2 linked regions of the Pelodiscus sinensis genome follow. The protein of the gene in region 1 purifies or fractionates together with the protein of each later gene. This does not show direct contact. Links are inferred from orthologs where the notes say so. Each region holds a gene or a part of one and is shown on either strand. Other genes may lie near its edges.

The links.
Region 2: the proteins of C9H1orf226 (region 1) and PLK1 purify together in Homo sapiens (affinity purification with mass spectrometry; 3 studies listed by BioGRID and IntAct, counting the BioPlex papers as one, with this or other methods). This does not show direct contact. The link is inferred for Pelodiscus sinensis from reciprocal best matches to the Homo sapiens genes C1orf226 and PLK1.

The regions. Positions count from the first base shown.
Region 1 is NC_134719.1:65,318,878-65,325,715, reverse strand, and holds C9H1orf226 (uncharacterized protein C1orf226 homolog), read right to left. Parts: upstream 2,591-6,838; coding exon 2,145-2,590; intron 941-2,144; coding exon 517-940; downstream 1-516. Other genes in the region: SPATA46 (spermatogenesis-associated protein 46), read left to right, coding at 3,594-3,699, 5,455-5,945.
Region 2 is NC_134726.1:39,868,844-39,876,276, forward strand, and holds the start of PLK1 (serine/threonine-protein kinase PLK1), read left to right. Parts: upstream 1-4,413; 5' UTR 4,414-4,494; coding exon 4,495-4,890; intron 4,891-5,524; coding exon 5,525-5,693; intron 5,694-5,975; coding exon 5,976-6,120; intron 6,121-7,159; coding exon 7,160-7,253; intron 7,254-7,433. Other genes in the region: ras-related protein Rap-2c-like, read left to right, coding at 895-1,515. UniProt on the Homo sapiens protein: Serine/threonine-protein kinase that performs several important functions throughout M phase of the cell cycle, including the regulation of centrosome maturation and spindle assembly, the removal of cohesins from chromosome arms, the inactivation of anaphase-promoting complex/cyclosome (APC/C) inhibitors, and the regulation of mitotic exit and cytokinesis.

The sequences.
Region 1 (6,838 bases):
GTGTGGGTACGCGGGCGTGGGGGGGCCCCACAGATCAGATCAGAGACAAGGCCGTGTGGGTTCGGGGGCTTGGCCAGCCCCATGGCAGATCAGAGGAAAGACTGTGCATGGACGGAAACACGGGTAGAGCCGTGGCCCGGGGCAGGGGCAGGGTCTGCGCAGGGCGGTGCTGGAGAGGGGCCCGTGGGAAATGGCTCGTGGCTGGCCCCTGCCCCCAGCCCCAGGGTTGCCTGTGAGACAGGCGCAGGGACGGGAGGGTGTAGGGTGAAGCTACAGCCCCTGCTGGGAGAGGGGAAGTCCTGTGCGGGGTGCCTGAGCCAGGCGGCCAGGCAGTGCGGGTGTGCATCCCCCTGCCCTGCGCGTGTGCGACGGGATATGGGGGCAGGGGTCGGGCTTCTCTCCGAGCCCCCGGGCCCGTCATGGATGATGCCCCAGAGCACGGTCAGATTGCCCCAGGCCTGCAGGGCAGGGGCAGAATGTCCCGGGGGAGAGGCGACGGCCCAGTGCCCCGGGCAGCTACTCAAAGGACAGGAGGTCCGGGTGGGGCCCCTCCTGGTCCAGGCTGCAGGGCTGGCGCTGGGACAGGCTGAGCCGGAGGGCGGGTTTCTCTGGGCACCATTCAGCAGCTCTGAGCTGGCCCTGCAAGGTCTCCTCCTGGAGGAGATCAGGCACGGAGAGGGCGTTGCCGTGGGGAGGCCCGGCCCCACTGGGCCCTGCTACGCCTGGGGCACCCAGCTCAGCGCCGGCCCCTGGCCGAGGCCCGGCCCCCGCCGTCTTCCACTGCTCCTCCTGGGCGGCCCGCTCGCCGGCGGCCTCCGCGCTGCCCGCCGCTGGCTGGGAGATCAGCATGTCCAGGGGGGTCTTCAGCGCCCGGGGCGCGCGCCTCTTGGCTGCGGGGGGCGGTGGGTCCAGCCGGGGGAAGGTTTCCAGCAGCACGTGCCTGTAAGCACAACGGCCCTGGTGAGCGGCAGACCCACGGCGCTGGCAGCTGCCTCGGGGCCCCCGGGCGCTCAACCCCCTGCACGCAGACACAAGCACGCCCGGGCCGCAGGAGACTCGCGCAGCGGACACCAGCTCCGACAGCTGGGCTCTAGTCTGCTGCACTCAGCCACTGTGCCTCAGTTTCCCAGCTGGAGGGTGCTCCAAAGGCCTCCTGGGAGCAGAGCCCACCAGTAGGTAAGTCTCAGCGGCCGTGGGCTGCGGTTATTCGTTACTTCGCAGCCCTCCTGCCACCTTGGGCTGTGCTGTCCCTGGGGCGGCGCCGCAGAACGGTGTTGTACCCGCTGGGGTGTGCGCAAGGCGGGCCGGGCGAGGGGGCTGCTGAAAGCCGAGGCTTCGCTGGCTGGGCGCGTGCTGCCCGGGTGCCTGGCGGACGTGGGTGTGTGCTGGGAGGATTGGCCCTGGCCTGGGAGTTCAAGCATTTGCTTCTGGGAGAAAGCAACAGGCCTTGCCCACCGCTTGTCAAAGGGGGAACTGCCCGCGCCTGACAACGGGCGGAGGGTCCCTCCCCGCCCGCGCCTGACAATGGGCCGAGGGTCCCTCCCCGCCCGCGCCTGACAACGGGCCGAGGGTCCCTCCCCGCCCGCGCCTGACAACGGGCCGAGGGTCCCTCCCCGCCCGCGCCTGACAACGGGCCGAGGGTCCCTCCCCGCCCGCGCCTGACAACGGACCGAGGGTCCCTCCCCACATGCGCCTGACAACGGACCGAGGGTCCCTCCCCGCCCGCGCCTGACAACGGACCGAGGGTCCCTCCCCACATGCGCCTGACAACGGACCGAGGGTCCCTCCCCGCCCGCGCCTGACAACGGACCGAGGGTCCCTCCCCGCCCGCGCCTGACAACGGACCGAGGGTCCCTCCCCACATGCGCCTGACAACGGACCGAGGGTCCCTCCCCGCCCGCGCCTGACAACGGACCGAGGGTCCCTCCCCGCCCCGCGCCTGACAACGGACCGAGGGTCCCTCCCCACATGCGCCTGACAACGGACCGAGGGTCCCTCCCCGCCCGCGCCTGACAACGGACCGAGGGTCCCTCCCCGCCCGCGCCTGACAACGGACCGAGGGTCCCTCCCCGCCCGCGCCTGACAACGGACCGAGGGTTCTGCCCCGCTCTCCAGCGGCCGGGCCGGGCCACGGCGAGACTCACCCTGTCGCATGGGCCTGATCCTCACGCAGCGCGAGCGTCCCGCCCACCAGCTCAGCGCCCGCGCGGGCATTGACCTCGGTCACCCAGGCCTCGCCCAGGCTGGCGGCCTCCCTCCGGCGCAGCAAGTCATTGACCTTGGCCCCGACGGCCTTGCTCAGGTTCCTGAGGTGCTGGCTTCCCGCTCGCAGGGCAGGCCCAGCGGTGTCCGGCAGGGCTGCCTGGGGTGGGCCCTGCAGGGCTCTGGAGACAGACCGGCTGGGCTGCAGCTTTGGCGCGAGGGTCGTGTTCGAATTCTCAAACAGGCTGTGGTCAGCTGGAAGAGAGGAGAGGAGGGTCGGCGCACGGAGGGGGACGCTTGGACGGAGAGGTGGGCTGCGGGGAGATGGCAGCACGTGATGGGCTGACACGTGGATGGGGGGGGCACGCAGGCAGGGCGCGCCAAGCATGGGGCAGTGGATGTGTGGGGAGCTGGCACGTGGGCAGGGTGCATTGTGCGTGGGGCGGAGGACGTGCGGGGAGCCGGCCCGTGGCCAGGGGGACGTGCGGGGAGCCGGCCCGTGGCCAGGGGGACGTGCGGGGAGCCGGCCCGTGGCCAGGGGGACGTGCGGGGAGCCGGCGCGTGGCCAGGGGGACGTGCGGGGAGCCGGCGCGTGGCCAGGGGGACGTGCGGGGAGCCGGCCCGTGGCCAGGGGGACGTGCGGGGAGCCGGCGCGTGGCCAGGGGGACGTGCGGGGAGCCGGCGCGTGGCCAGGGGGACGTGCGGGGAGCCGGCCCGTGGCCAGGGGGACGTGCGGGGAGCCGGCGCGTGGCCAGGGGGACGTGCGGGGAGCCGGCGCGTGGCCAGGGGGACGTGCGGGGAGCCGGCCCGTGGCCAGGGGGACGTGCGGGGAGCCGGCCCGTGGCCAGCGTGTGGTGCACACAACCTTCCCAGTGAGAGGGAACTCTCCCCAGAGCCAGGGCTGCACTACCCGGGTGCAGAGGCTGCGGCTCAAACGCTTCTGCCCGGTACGTAGCGCAGCAATGGCAGGGGCAGCATGGGGCCGGGGCAGAGGGGAGCCACCCAAGGCGAGCGGCACCCAGCCAGAGTCTGCCCCTGGCCCCCACCTTAGAGGTACGGCCGCCCAGTTTCCCTCGCCAGCCGTGGCGCTGGCCCGGCCCCCCCACTCCAGCAACAAGCTGTCCTGCCCGGCTCTGCCTGGGCGTGGAGCAGCTGCCCTCGGGGGCCGTGCCTGGGCAGGGCCCTGCGGGCGCGAGGGGCCAAGACGTGCTATTCCGCCCTCGCACAGCACGGGACACAAGCGGCCGCCAGACGCCCTCCCCCCGGCTGCTCCCGGCGCAGGGACTGTGAGGTCGGCCGGTGACGTCACAGAGCCAGGCCCCGGGAACTCCGGCCAGAGCCCCAGGATCTCACTGGCTGGCACCTGCTCCCTGCACCAGCTGCCGCCGGGGATGGAGAACTTCTCCCTGCTGACCATCTCTGGGCCACGTCTGCCCAGCTGTGCCATGAAGAGCCTACGCGACGCGCCAGCCCCCCGGCGCACTCCCAGCTTGCCAGGTAACGGCCCCCCCAACCTTGGGTCACACATGCCACCTTTCTCCAGCCCCTCCCCACCTCCCCAGCAGCAGCCCAGGCCAACCAGGAAGTGGAGGAGGGGTACGAGCCCTGCTGTACAGGTGGGGAAACTGAGGCACGCAGCCACCGCTGGTTTCCACGGTGGGCTCTGATTTTGGGGACTCGCTGTTAGAGCTACAGGGCCTGATTTTCGGTGCGTCTGCTGCCTGGCTGCAGGCGTCGAGACAGACACTACCCTGCCCGTGGCGCACACCACATCCCTCAGCTCCCAGGGGGCCAGACCGAAACTAAGAGGGGCCGGGGGACACGTGAGCAGCTGGGGAAAGCAGCGGCAGCCCCCTTGAATACCTCGATACACTCACAACCCCCACTGAGCTCACCTAGCTGTGGCCCCCGCACTGCTGGACTCAGCGGCCAGCTGTGCCACAATGGGCAACGCCCCTTTGAAAATGGTGGCCTAAATGAGTTGGACGAGGACCCACAGGGAGTCAGTAGCAGAGACCCAGCTCCAGAGTCACACGCCGCCTTTCCCAGGCCTGGGAAGTAGCTTCTGGCAGAGCTAGGCACTGGCGGATGGCCTGGGGGGGGAGGGGGGGTGCACGCGCTGGAAACGCCTGGGTCTGGCTCGTGTGGCGGGTAGCCCCGTGCAGGATCTCAGGCCGGGGTGGGCGCTGGTGAACCAGACAGTCCCTGCCTCCTACGCCTTCCTGACTCATCGCAGGGGCTTGTGCCCGAGTCAGGCCGTGGGGCCCGCCAGGGGCTCTGTGTGTCACATTGCACCTCCCCCACCCCATGGCTCCAGCCTGGCTCCGGGAACAGATGCTGGAGACAAGCTGAGGGGGGAGGGGTCCTTTCTCTGCTGCCAGCCCCACACTGCCCCCGTGCCTGAGGCCTCTCTGCCCTGCTCCAGACGCACCCCTTCCTCTGGGTAGCTGAGCAGCGGCCCCTGGGCACAGCACAACAGGACCCATGGGAGCCGGTGGGGTCCGACCTCCGACCTCCGCACGGAGAGTGCATCCGACCCCTGGGCTCTGAGCATCGGCCGTCCCACGGTGCCCAGCACAAGCCCCGCAGCTGCTGCCGGTTCCCACGGGAGCCCAGCCGTGGGGCAGATGGGCGGGCAGGGGAAGGGCTGGGCCCTGGAGAGCTCCCTCCCCGGGAGGCACTGAGCCAAGGCGAGCCCGGCCCCCAGCCTGCCCGGCGCTGGGCCCTGGAGAGCTCCCTCCCCGGGAGGCACTGAGCCAAGGCGAGCCGGGCCCCCAGCCTGCCCGGCGCTGGGCCCTGGAGAGCTCCCTCCCCGGGAGGCACTGAGCCAAGGCGAGCCCGGCCCCCAGCCTGCCCGGCGCTGGGCCCTGGAGAGCTCCCTCCCCGGGAGGCACTGAGCCAAGGCGAGCCGGGCCCCCAGCCTGCCCGGCGCTGGGCCCTGGAGAGCTCCCTTCCCGGGAGGCACTGAGCCAAGGCGAGCCGGGCCCCCAGCCTGCCCGGCGCTGGGCCCTGGAGAGCTCCCTCCCCGGGAGGCACTGAGCCAAGGCGAGCCCGGCCCCCAGCCTGCCCGGCGCTGGGCCCTGGAGAGCTCCCTCCCCGGGAGGCACTGAGCCAAGGCGAGCCCGGCCCCCAGCCTGCCCGGCGCTGGGCCCTGGAGAGCTCCCTCCCCGGGAGGCACTGAGCCAAGGCGAGCCCGGCCCCCAGCCTGCCCGGCGCTGGGCCCGGGCTCATCCCAACCCCTTCTCTTGGCAGCTTGTGTCCCCAGCGACATGCCGAGCAGCGAGCCCCCGGGGCGCAACTGCACCATCTACCGGCCCTGGTTCTCCCCCTACAGCTACCTGGTGTGCACGGGCCGGGCCAGCCCGCGGGAGGCCTGCAGCCGCCCGGACACGCCAGCAGCCAGCGCCCGGGACGCCGGCCAGGCCGCCGAGCTCCCCGACAGCCCCTGCTCCTCCTGCTCCCTGGAGCGGGCGGGCCCCGGCACGGAGCCCCAGGGCTGCATCACCTCCCGCGACATCCTCCTGGCGGCCCGGTGGCAGCCGGCGCCGCAGAACGGCTCCAAGTGCCTGGCCTGCTGCCGCGTCTTCCCCACCCTGCACTCGCTCAAGACCCACGTCCAGTGCGGCTCCCGGGAGGGCTTCAGCTGCCAGGTGTACTACCAGCGGCTCAAGGCCCTGTGGGGCAGGGAGGGCCCGGCCCGGCCCCACGGCGCCCAAGTGACGCTCCCCCGCAGCCCCCAATAAAGCAGAGTATTCCAAGCAGCCTGCCCCGCGGGCTCCCCACTGCAGGGAGGGACAGCGGCCCCCCCTCTCTCGCCACGGGGCCCTGGCTCCCGCTCCTGCGCGTGATTGGCCCCCCTGCTCCCTGGAGGGGTCGCCCCCCCGCTCCCCAGTGCAGTCAGCCTCCCCCCCCCCCGGCCCCACAGCCCCCTGCTCCCCAGTGCAGTCAGCCCCCCCCGGCCCCACAGCCCCCTGCTCCCGCACCCCAGTGCAGTCAGCCCCCCCCCGGCCCCCACAGCCCCCTGCTCCCGCACCCCAGTGCAGTCAGCCTCCCCCCCCCACTCCCTGGCCCCACAGCCCCCTGCTCCCCCTCCCTGCCGCAGTCAGCCTCCCCCCCACTCCCTGGCCCCACAGCCCTCTGCTCCCCCTCCCCAGCGCAGTCAGACTCCCCTCCCGCTCCCTGGCCCCAGGGCCCCCTGCTCCCCCTCCTGGCACAGCCTCCGCCCCCGCTCCCTGTCCCCACAGCCCCCTGCTCCCCCTCCCTGGCACAGCCTCCGCCCCCGCTCCCTGGCCCCACAGCCCCCTGCTCCCGCTCCCCAGCGCAGTCAGCCCCCTGGACCCACAGCCCCCTGGTCCCGCTCCCCAGTGCAGTCAGCTTCCCCCCCACTCTCTGGCCCCACAGCCCCCTGCTCCCGCTCCCCAGTGCAGTCAGCTTCCCCCCCACTCCCTGGCCCCACAGCCCCCTGCTCCCCTTCCCTGGCACAGTCAGCCTCCCCCCCCCGCTCCCTGGCCCCACAGCCCCCTGCCACAGAGGTGCCTGCACTAGCTGTTACGGTGAAGAGGCCTGGGGCTGGGTGTCCTGGCCAGTCAGAGCCAGACATGGGGCTGGGCAGGGGCAGCTGTGACAGACAACACGG
Region 2 (7,433 bases), on another chromosome or scaffold:
CCGACTATGGCCTGGCTCCCCAGGCGAAGGGGCAGCAGCGGGCAGTTCCCTGCACCTACCTGCTCAGGGATGGGCACTATCCTGCCCCGCATGGGGTACCTGGGGGCTTCTCACAGCCAACTGGGCAGCAGAGCAACCTCTGGGCTTGGTCCCCTGGCCCAGCAACCCATTGCACCTGCCTCCCCCGGGCAATGACCCAGCCACACAGGGACTCTCCCTGCCTGCCCTACGCTCAGCGGGCACAGGGCCCAGTTCTCTCCAGGGCAGTTTCCCCATAGCGCCAGCCCAGGGGGCACGTGTGAGGGCAGGGGGGCCGGCAGGGACCAGGGGGGCTGAGCCAGGTGCAGGGGGGTGCTGAGAGCCAACTGTGACGTTGGAGATGATGATAACCACGTCAGGGGAGCTCTGCTGCTGCCCTAGTCCCAGCACCCAGGCCAGGCCGCTGGCCAAAGGGCCCCCCCGTCTCCCTGGCTGGGCCCGGCAGCGCCAGGGCGCTACGCGCTCAGCCCGAGCCCGGCCCGGCGGCGCCCCCTAGCGGCTCCGAGCGGGATCGGCGCTGTTCGGGGGCGCAAAGTCTCGCACAGTCCGCGGTATATGGCCCCCGTCCTCCCTCACTCCCCCGGGCCCCCTGACCCCCCTTCACTCCTCCTGTGTCCCCCTCTCCCCGTGTCCCCCGGTGCCACCCGGCCCCCGCCACTCCCAGGCCCCACCCTCGCCGCTCCGCACCCCTGCCTCTCTCTCCCTGGCGGGGGGGCGGCAGGTGTCGGCCCCGGGCACCTCCCCCTGCGGGCGGATTGGCTGGCGGCCGCACCCCGCGGCGGGCGCTATAAAGCAGCGGGCGCGGGCGGCTCCCGGCACTCCCTGGCGGCGGGCGGCCCGGGGACAGGGCGCTGCATGGCGCCCAGCCTGGCGCCCGAGGCCCGGGTGCGCCTGGTGTTCTTCGGGGCGGCGGGCGTGGGCAAGACGGCCCTGATCCGCCGCTTCCTGCAGGACGCGTTCGAGGCGCGGCACCGGCGCACGGTGGAGGAGCTGCACCTGCTGGAGCTGGAACTGGAGCCGGGCTCGGGGCTGAGCCTCCGCTTGGAGATCCTGGACACGAGCGGCAGCTACAGCTTCCCGGCCATGCGGCGCCTCTGCATCGGCCGCGGCGACGCCTTCGCCCTGGTCTACTCGCTGCAGGAGCCCGACTCCTTCGCCGAGGTGCAGCGGCTGCGGGACGAGATCCTGGAGGCCCGGCGGGGCCCGGTGCCCATCGTGGTGGTGGGGAACAAGAGCGACCTGGCGCCGGGCCAGCCGGACTCGCGCGTGGCCGTCGCGCAGCGGGACTGGGGCTGCACCTGCCTGGAGGCCTCGGCCAAGCAGGGGCGCAACGTGCTCAGCCTCTTCCAGGAGCTGCTGAGCCAGGTCAACCTGCCCGGGCGCCTCAGCCCGGCCCTGCGGCGCCGCCGGCCCCAGCCCTTCGGCAAGGAGCCGCCCCGCCGCGGCGCCAAGAGCCACAGCTGCGCCGTCTGCTAGGGCCCGGGGCCGGGCGGGATCGGGTCCCCGACAGCCGCCTGGCTGGAGCGACGCGTTCCGGAGCGTTCCCCGACGCCAGCGGTCGCTGACGGCCCCAGAAGCCGGGCACGGAGCGGACTCTGCTCCCCCTGTACCGCCGCCTGGACGGGGGTCCGTGCCTGCCTCTCTTGCCCGCCAGCCGCGGCTGGCTCAGGGCGGCTCTCCAGGGTGGGGGCTCCAGGCACCGGGAGGCGGAGAGTTGCGGGAGCAGCGAGCAGGGAGAGCGCACGGACGGTGACCAGCCACTCGCTTCCCGTGTGCTGGGTTCAGAGGGCGGGGGAAGCCTCAAAGCGCAGCCTCCTGGCTCCAGTTAGCTTGGACCCGAGCTCTGGGGCGGTTTCCAGCTGGCATGGTAGGATGAGCTCTCATGCTCCGTGCAGGCCGGTCCCACCTCCGCCATGGCTTCCCCTCCAACAATGTGAGGTCTCAGCAGTCAGCAGCCAGAATCCCTTCCCTGGGACACCTGCCCCTTCTATTCTGTAGGGGCCTGACCTGCAGGGTCCCCTGTGATGCTGGCACCTGGGCGCTGAGCTTCTACTACACAAATCAAGCAGCCCAGCTGCTCCACCTCTGGTCCTGCAGTCAGTCCCACCACCCACCTCCCTCCAAGGAAAGGGCTGTGCCTTTGCCCGTGGGCACAGGCCGGTGAGCTGCAGCTCTGAAGCTGGCCAGGGATCCCACAAGGGACAGAACAGGGCTTAATTTGCAAGGCAGGTGCTGCTGGGGCTCATGCAGTTTCTTCACACCAGGACCGAGCCCAGAGGCACTGGCGATGCAAACAGCCTGGGACGCGGCCCAGGCCTCCATTATGCACTGCAGTGGGGACCGTCCTGGTCAGGGAGCCCCTCTGGGGGAGAAGCCAAATGACCCCCCCTGCAGCGCATGTTTCCCAAAGCAGCATCTCCTGAAGGAGACAAGGGTGGAGTGACAGCACCTCTGAGTGTGGGGGAGCAGGAACCTGTCACTAAAAACAGGCAGACCTGACAGCACGGGGCTGGGTAAGTCCAGCCCATGCTTCTTGCCATGGCTCAGGGGTGATGGTATCTTAGTTAACAGGCTCCCTAGGACTCCCTCATGCTGGACTAGCAGCAGGCTAGAAGTCTCTCCAGCTGTGGTGGGAGGGTGTGGAAAGGAAATAAGGGGGGGGGGGGGATAGCAGGTGTATTGTAGAACCTACCCCCACCCAAACAGTGCTTCATACTGTAATGTGACCCAGATGTGCATGAAGGTACTTGCTTCCTTCTGTAGTTCCATGACCATTCTAGCTCCCTGTAATGAAACCCATGGACCTGTTCCCCACATGATTTAAGTGCCTGGGTCCTGTGGGGGCAGGCAGAGCCCTATTCAGGCTCCAGGAGTGCTGCTATCTAGTCTGCTTCCCATATGCCTAGGATGAGGAACCTTTTCTTGGAGCAGGGGCCACTGACCTACAGAAAAATCAGTCGGGCAGCATGCAAGTGAGAGGCTGAACCGGGGGAGGGAGGAGGAGCACTGAGCCGTGGAGGCCAGACACAGGCAAGCTGCCTAGGAGGCCACTGCAGTGGCAGCGCCAAGCTCAGTGCTATGTGAGGGTTTCTCATGCTACGGAGGGGTAACCTTGGCCTGACTTGGGCCTTCTCAAAACAGAGGGCTCCTATTGCTTGTTGGGCTTATGTGGCTGCCTGGCATTACAGTATGTGACTTTCCCACAGAGAAGTCCCTGACACATCTTGCTCTTGGGGTAAATTCTGCTTGGAATAGGCTTGTTTGGTTACGAGTTTGCTTAATTTCCATTAACTGCACAACTGTCACAAAATAAAAACAAACCTCACACGAGGCGAGTGAGCAAGCAAACTTGTTTTCATGTCAGTCTTACTGGAAACTTCATCTGTATCACCTGGCCCAAATGAATTATTTGCTCCTCCAATGAATTTGTTTGTGCTTGTATCAGATCAGTTTTTAATCCATTTGATTAACATTTGGACCTTTAATGCTTCAACAAACACACCATTAATAGAAGTTGTGGCACCAGGTTAGGTTATTTCATCCATCAGGTCTAATAGCCCCCTTCAACAGAAGCTAATGCCTGGGACTTAAAGAAATGGCGTGGGAGAGTTGTTGAACCAAACTGTAGGTCCCATATATAACAGAAACCACTTCAAGTCAGGTAATGTGCTTCCCCCCAGCACCTATGGCTCAGCAGGCAGAGGGGGAAAAAGAATCATTCAGAAAATGACTTACTGGGATTTGGCTGGTCCCTTGTGGCTGTCAGGCTGTGCCGGGGGCCCTGATGCAAGCGAATGTTTGCTCTTCCCTAGCAGTGACCTGTCCACCGATCAGTGCCTGGGGGTGCCAGTTCCTACACTGCATGAAGCAGCGAGTGCAAAGCCTGGGTCTAGGCCTGCAACACTGAGGAAGCTGTGAAAGTGCAACAGGGGAAGGGGAGGTTGTTCTAGTGGCACATCTGGGAGAGGGTAGCTGGTTGCTGTGCATTGGGCAGCATGGCTGGGGCTAGAGCTACACATGTGGGTAGGGTGGCACATCTGGGGCAGGAGGGGGTGGCTGGGTTACAGTTGCACATCTGGGGCAGAGAGCTGGAGCTAGACCTACATCTCAGGTGTGGGGGGCAGGGACTAGAGCTGCACATCTGGGGCAGGATGGCTGGGGCAAGGATTGCACCTGTGGGGCAGGGGCCTGCACAGCGGGGCGGATGTTGCAGGGCGAGCCCGGATGTTCCGGCGACGCCCCCTGCTCGCGGCTGCCCGCTCGCGGAGCCCGGGGCTGCTGTCCCTTTAAACGGGGCGGGGGGGCTCCCATGGTGCCTAGCGGCGGGCGGCTTGGATTTTAAATCGTAGCAGCCAATGGGGAGCGCGCTGGGCGCGGCTAACGCTCCGGCTCGAGGTTTGAAATTGTTACAGTGTCGCGGCGGCCGGCGGCGAGAGCGGGGCTAAGGGCGGGAGCATGAGCGCGGTGTCCGGGAAGGGGGCGAAGCCGCCGGGGGCGGCCGAGCCCGGGAAGGGGGCCGCGGCCGGGCCCGGGCCCGGGGCGACGGCGGTGGCCAAGGAGATCCCGAAGGTGCTGGTGGATCCCCGCACCCGCCGCAGCTACATGCGCGGGCGCTTCCTGGGCAAGGGCGGCTTCGCCAAGTGCTACGAGATCACGGAGCTGGAGGGCCAGGAGGTGTTCGCCGGCAAGATCGTGCCCAAGTCGCTGCTGGTGAAGCCGCACCAGAAGGAGAAGATGTCCATGGAGATCTCCATCCACCGCAGCCTGGCGCACCGCCACGTGGTGGGCTTCCAGGGCTTCTTCGAGGACAGCGACTTCGTCTTCGTGGTGCTGGAGCTGTGCCGCCGGCGGGTGAGGGGCGGCCGGGGGGGGACGGGACGCGGGGCCGCCGGCGGGTGAGGGGCGGCCGGGGGGGGACGGGACGCGGGGCCGCCGGCGGGTGAGGGGCGGCCGGGGGGGGACGGGACGCGGGGCCGCCGGCGGGTGAGGGGCGGCCGGGGGGGGACGGGACGCGGGGCCGCCGGCGGGTGAGGGGCGGCCGGGGGGGGACGGGACGCGGGGCCGCCGGCGGGGGAGGGGCGGCCGGGGGGGGGGGGACGGGACGCGGGGCGGCCGGGCCCGTTCCCTTCCTGCAGACGGACGTGGGCCCCGTGGGGCTCAGGCCTGTCCTGCGGCGGGGGCGCTGCCGGCCCGGCGGGGGGGCGGGGGGCTCCCGCAGGGGACGGGGCTGGGGGCGGTAGCGGGGCCGCAGCCGGAAACGCTGATACTGTCTCTGCGTTCCACCGTGTCCGAGCGTTCGAAGCGCCTTAAAGGGCCAGTAGCCCCGCGCAGCGGTGCAGGGTGGGGGGTGCTCCCAAGCCTTCCCGACGTTACTCTCCTCAGTGGAGCTAGGACGGGGGGGTGCCCGCCGCAGAGCGTCCCCAGGCAGCAGGGGCAGGCTCTGGGCTGGGGGTGCTCATCACCCTGCCTCTCTCCTGGCCCCCAGTCGCTGTTGGAGCTGCACAAGCGGAGGAAAGCCTTGACCGAGCCGGAAGCGCGCTACTACCTGCGGCAAACCATCCTGGGCTGCCAGTATCTGCACAGCAACCGGGTCATTCACCGGGACCTCAAGCTGGGCAACCTCTTCCTCAACGACGACATGGAGGTGAAAATAGGTACGGACACCTGCAGCACAGAGCGGGTCCGGGAGCCCGCCCAGCCCCCGCCGCTCGCTGCGGATTCCGGGCCTTGTAAAGTCCCGATCCGAGCACATCCCATGCTTTGGATGGGCCGACTCCGTATTGGAGGGATGTAGCCCATAATTCTGCCACTTGCTGCTCACAGGATGAGACCGACTGTCCACGCACCATTGCCTGAGAACTCTGAGCTAAGGAAACCAGTCTCCCTGGTGCCCGGCCTGGCCCTAGGCAAATATTCTTGTACCTAAATCTTCCCAGGTGACTTTGGCTTGGCAACCAAAGTAGAATATGATGGTGAACGTAAGAAGACGCTGTGTGGGACACCAAACTACATCGCCCCCGAGGTGCTGGGCAAGAAGGGACACAGCTTTGAAGTGGACATCTGGTCCATCGGCTGCATTATGTACGTTCCATGACAAATCTTCAGGTTTTTAGTTTGCATGCCCTTAAATTTGGGACTTAGGGCTGCCATGGTCAGTCCGCTAGACTGGGGTCCGGGTTTTAAGTTAATCTTAGCTTGTGAGGAGCCTCTTAAAGGAGACACTATAAAACAAAAGTGATCAGGTCCAGGCCAGAACCTGGATAAGTGCAGACTAAGGTATGTCTGTGAGAATGGCCCAGCTATGGTGGTGTAGCTGAGCCGCTGTGGTGGTATAGTGCAGATACTTTCTACACTGACTTTCTCCCTCGATGGCATTAATCCACCCCTCAGAAGAGAGGTGCATTAGCTACGTCTGTGGAACAAGTCTTCCACTGTCCTAGCTGTGTCTATACAGACACTTTTCACTACCCTGTAGACTTGGCCTAAGGCTTGAATTGCCCTGAGATGTAGCTATGTGCTGGTCTCTAGTGAGAACAATATTTGAAGAGTTCTTGCTAGAACACTGCTAGCTTGGTTCAAATCTATATGGCTGTAAATGGGTCTTAAAGGTTACAATTTAAAAAGTGGTTTGCAAATTAGGCTGCCCTAGCAAGACTCCTAATGGCAGTGACCAAGGGCTAGAGATGGGTGATGAGTCTCAGCTTCCTTCATGACTCGTTTGCTTTGTAATCAGAGCTTGACTATCTCTGGAAAACTCCTCAGATCTGACTATCAGAACAATGTTCCTGTTTGCCTTGACCTGCCAGCTGCTGTGTGTGCACCTACCTGTACCCACAACCACTGGCTTTTGCAGGCTTACTTCTTGTAGTGAAAGTTATTTTGAATCCTGTCCATTTAAAGACCTGATGTCCCGAGTTTCACCGGTTCTCTCTCCCAAGGGTACCAGATTCCAGCTGCCTCCCCTAAGGAGCAGGGAACTGGAGATCTACCTGGCATTTCAAATACAATTGCCTGCTGCCCTGCATCTCCTGGGTGTCTCATCCCCCTGCTGCAAATGATCCTTCATGTGGAAATCGTGTGCTCTCCTTGTGACAGGCTCTTATGTATCTTAAATATGCAGGTACACACTTCTGGTAGGGAAACCACCCTTTGAAACCTCTTGTCTAAAAGAAACCTACATCCGAATTAAGAAGAATGAGTACAACATCCCCAAGGTATGGAGCCTGCTGCAGAGCGGGAGTTAGTCTTGCCAGCCAATAGAGCTAAGACTGCTTGTGCTTAGAGTGCACTTAACTTGGGAGTGAGCCCATTGGACTCACTGGCACTTCTGTTTTTGAGAAAACAAGCATAGAACGGGGTTCCGTGGGAAAGCTGAGTTAATGCTGAAGTAAAAC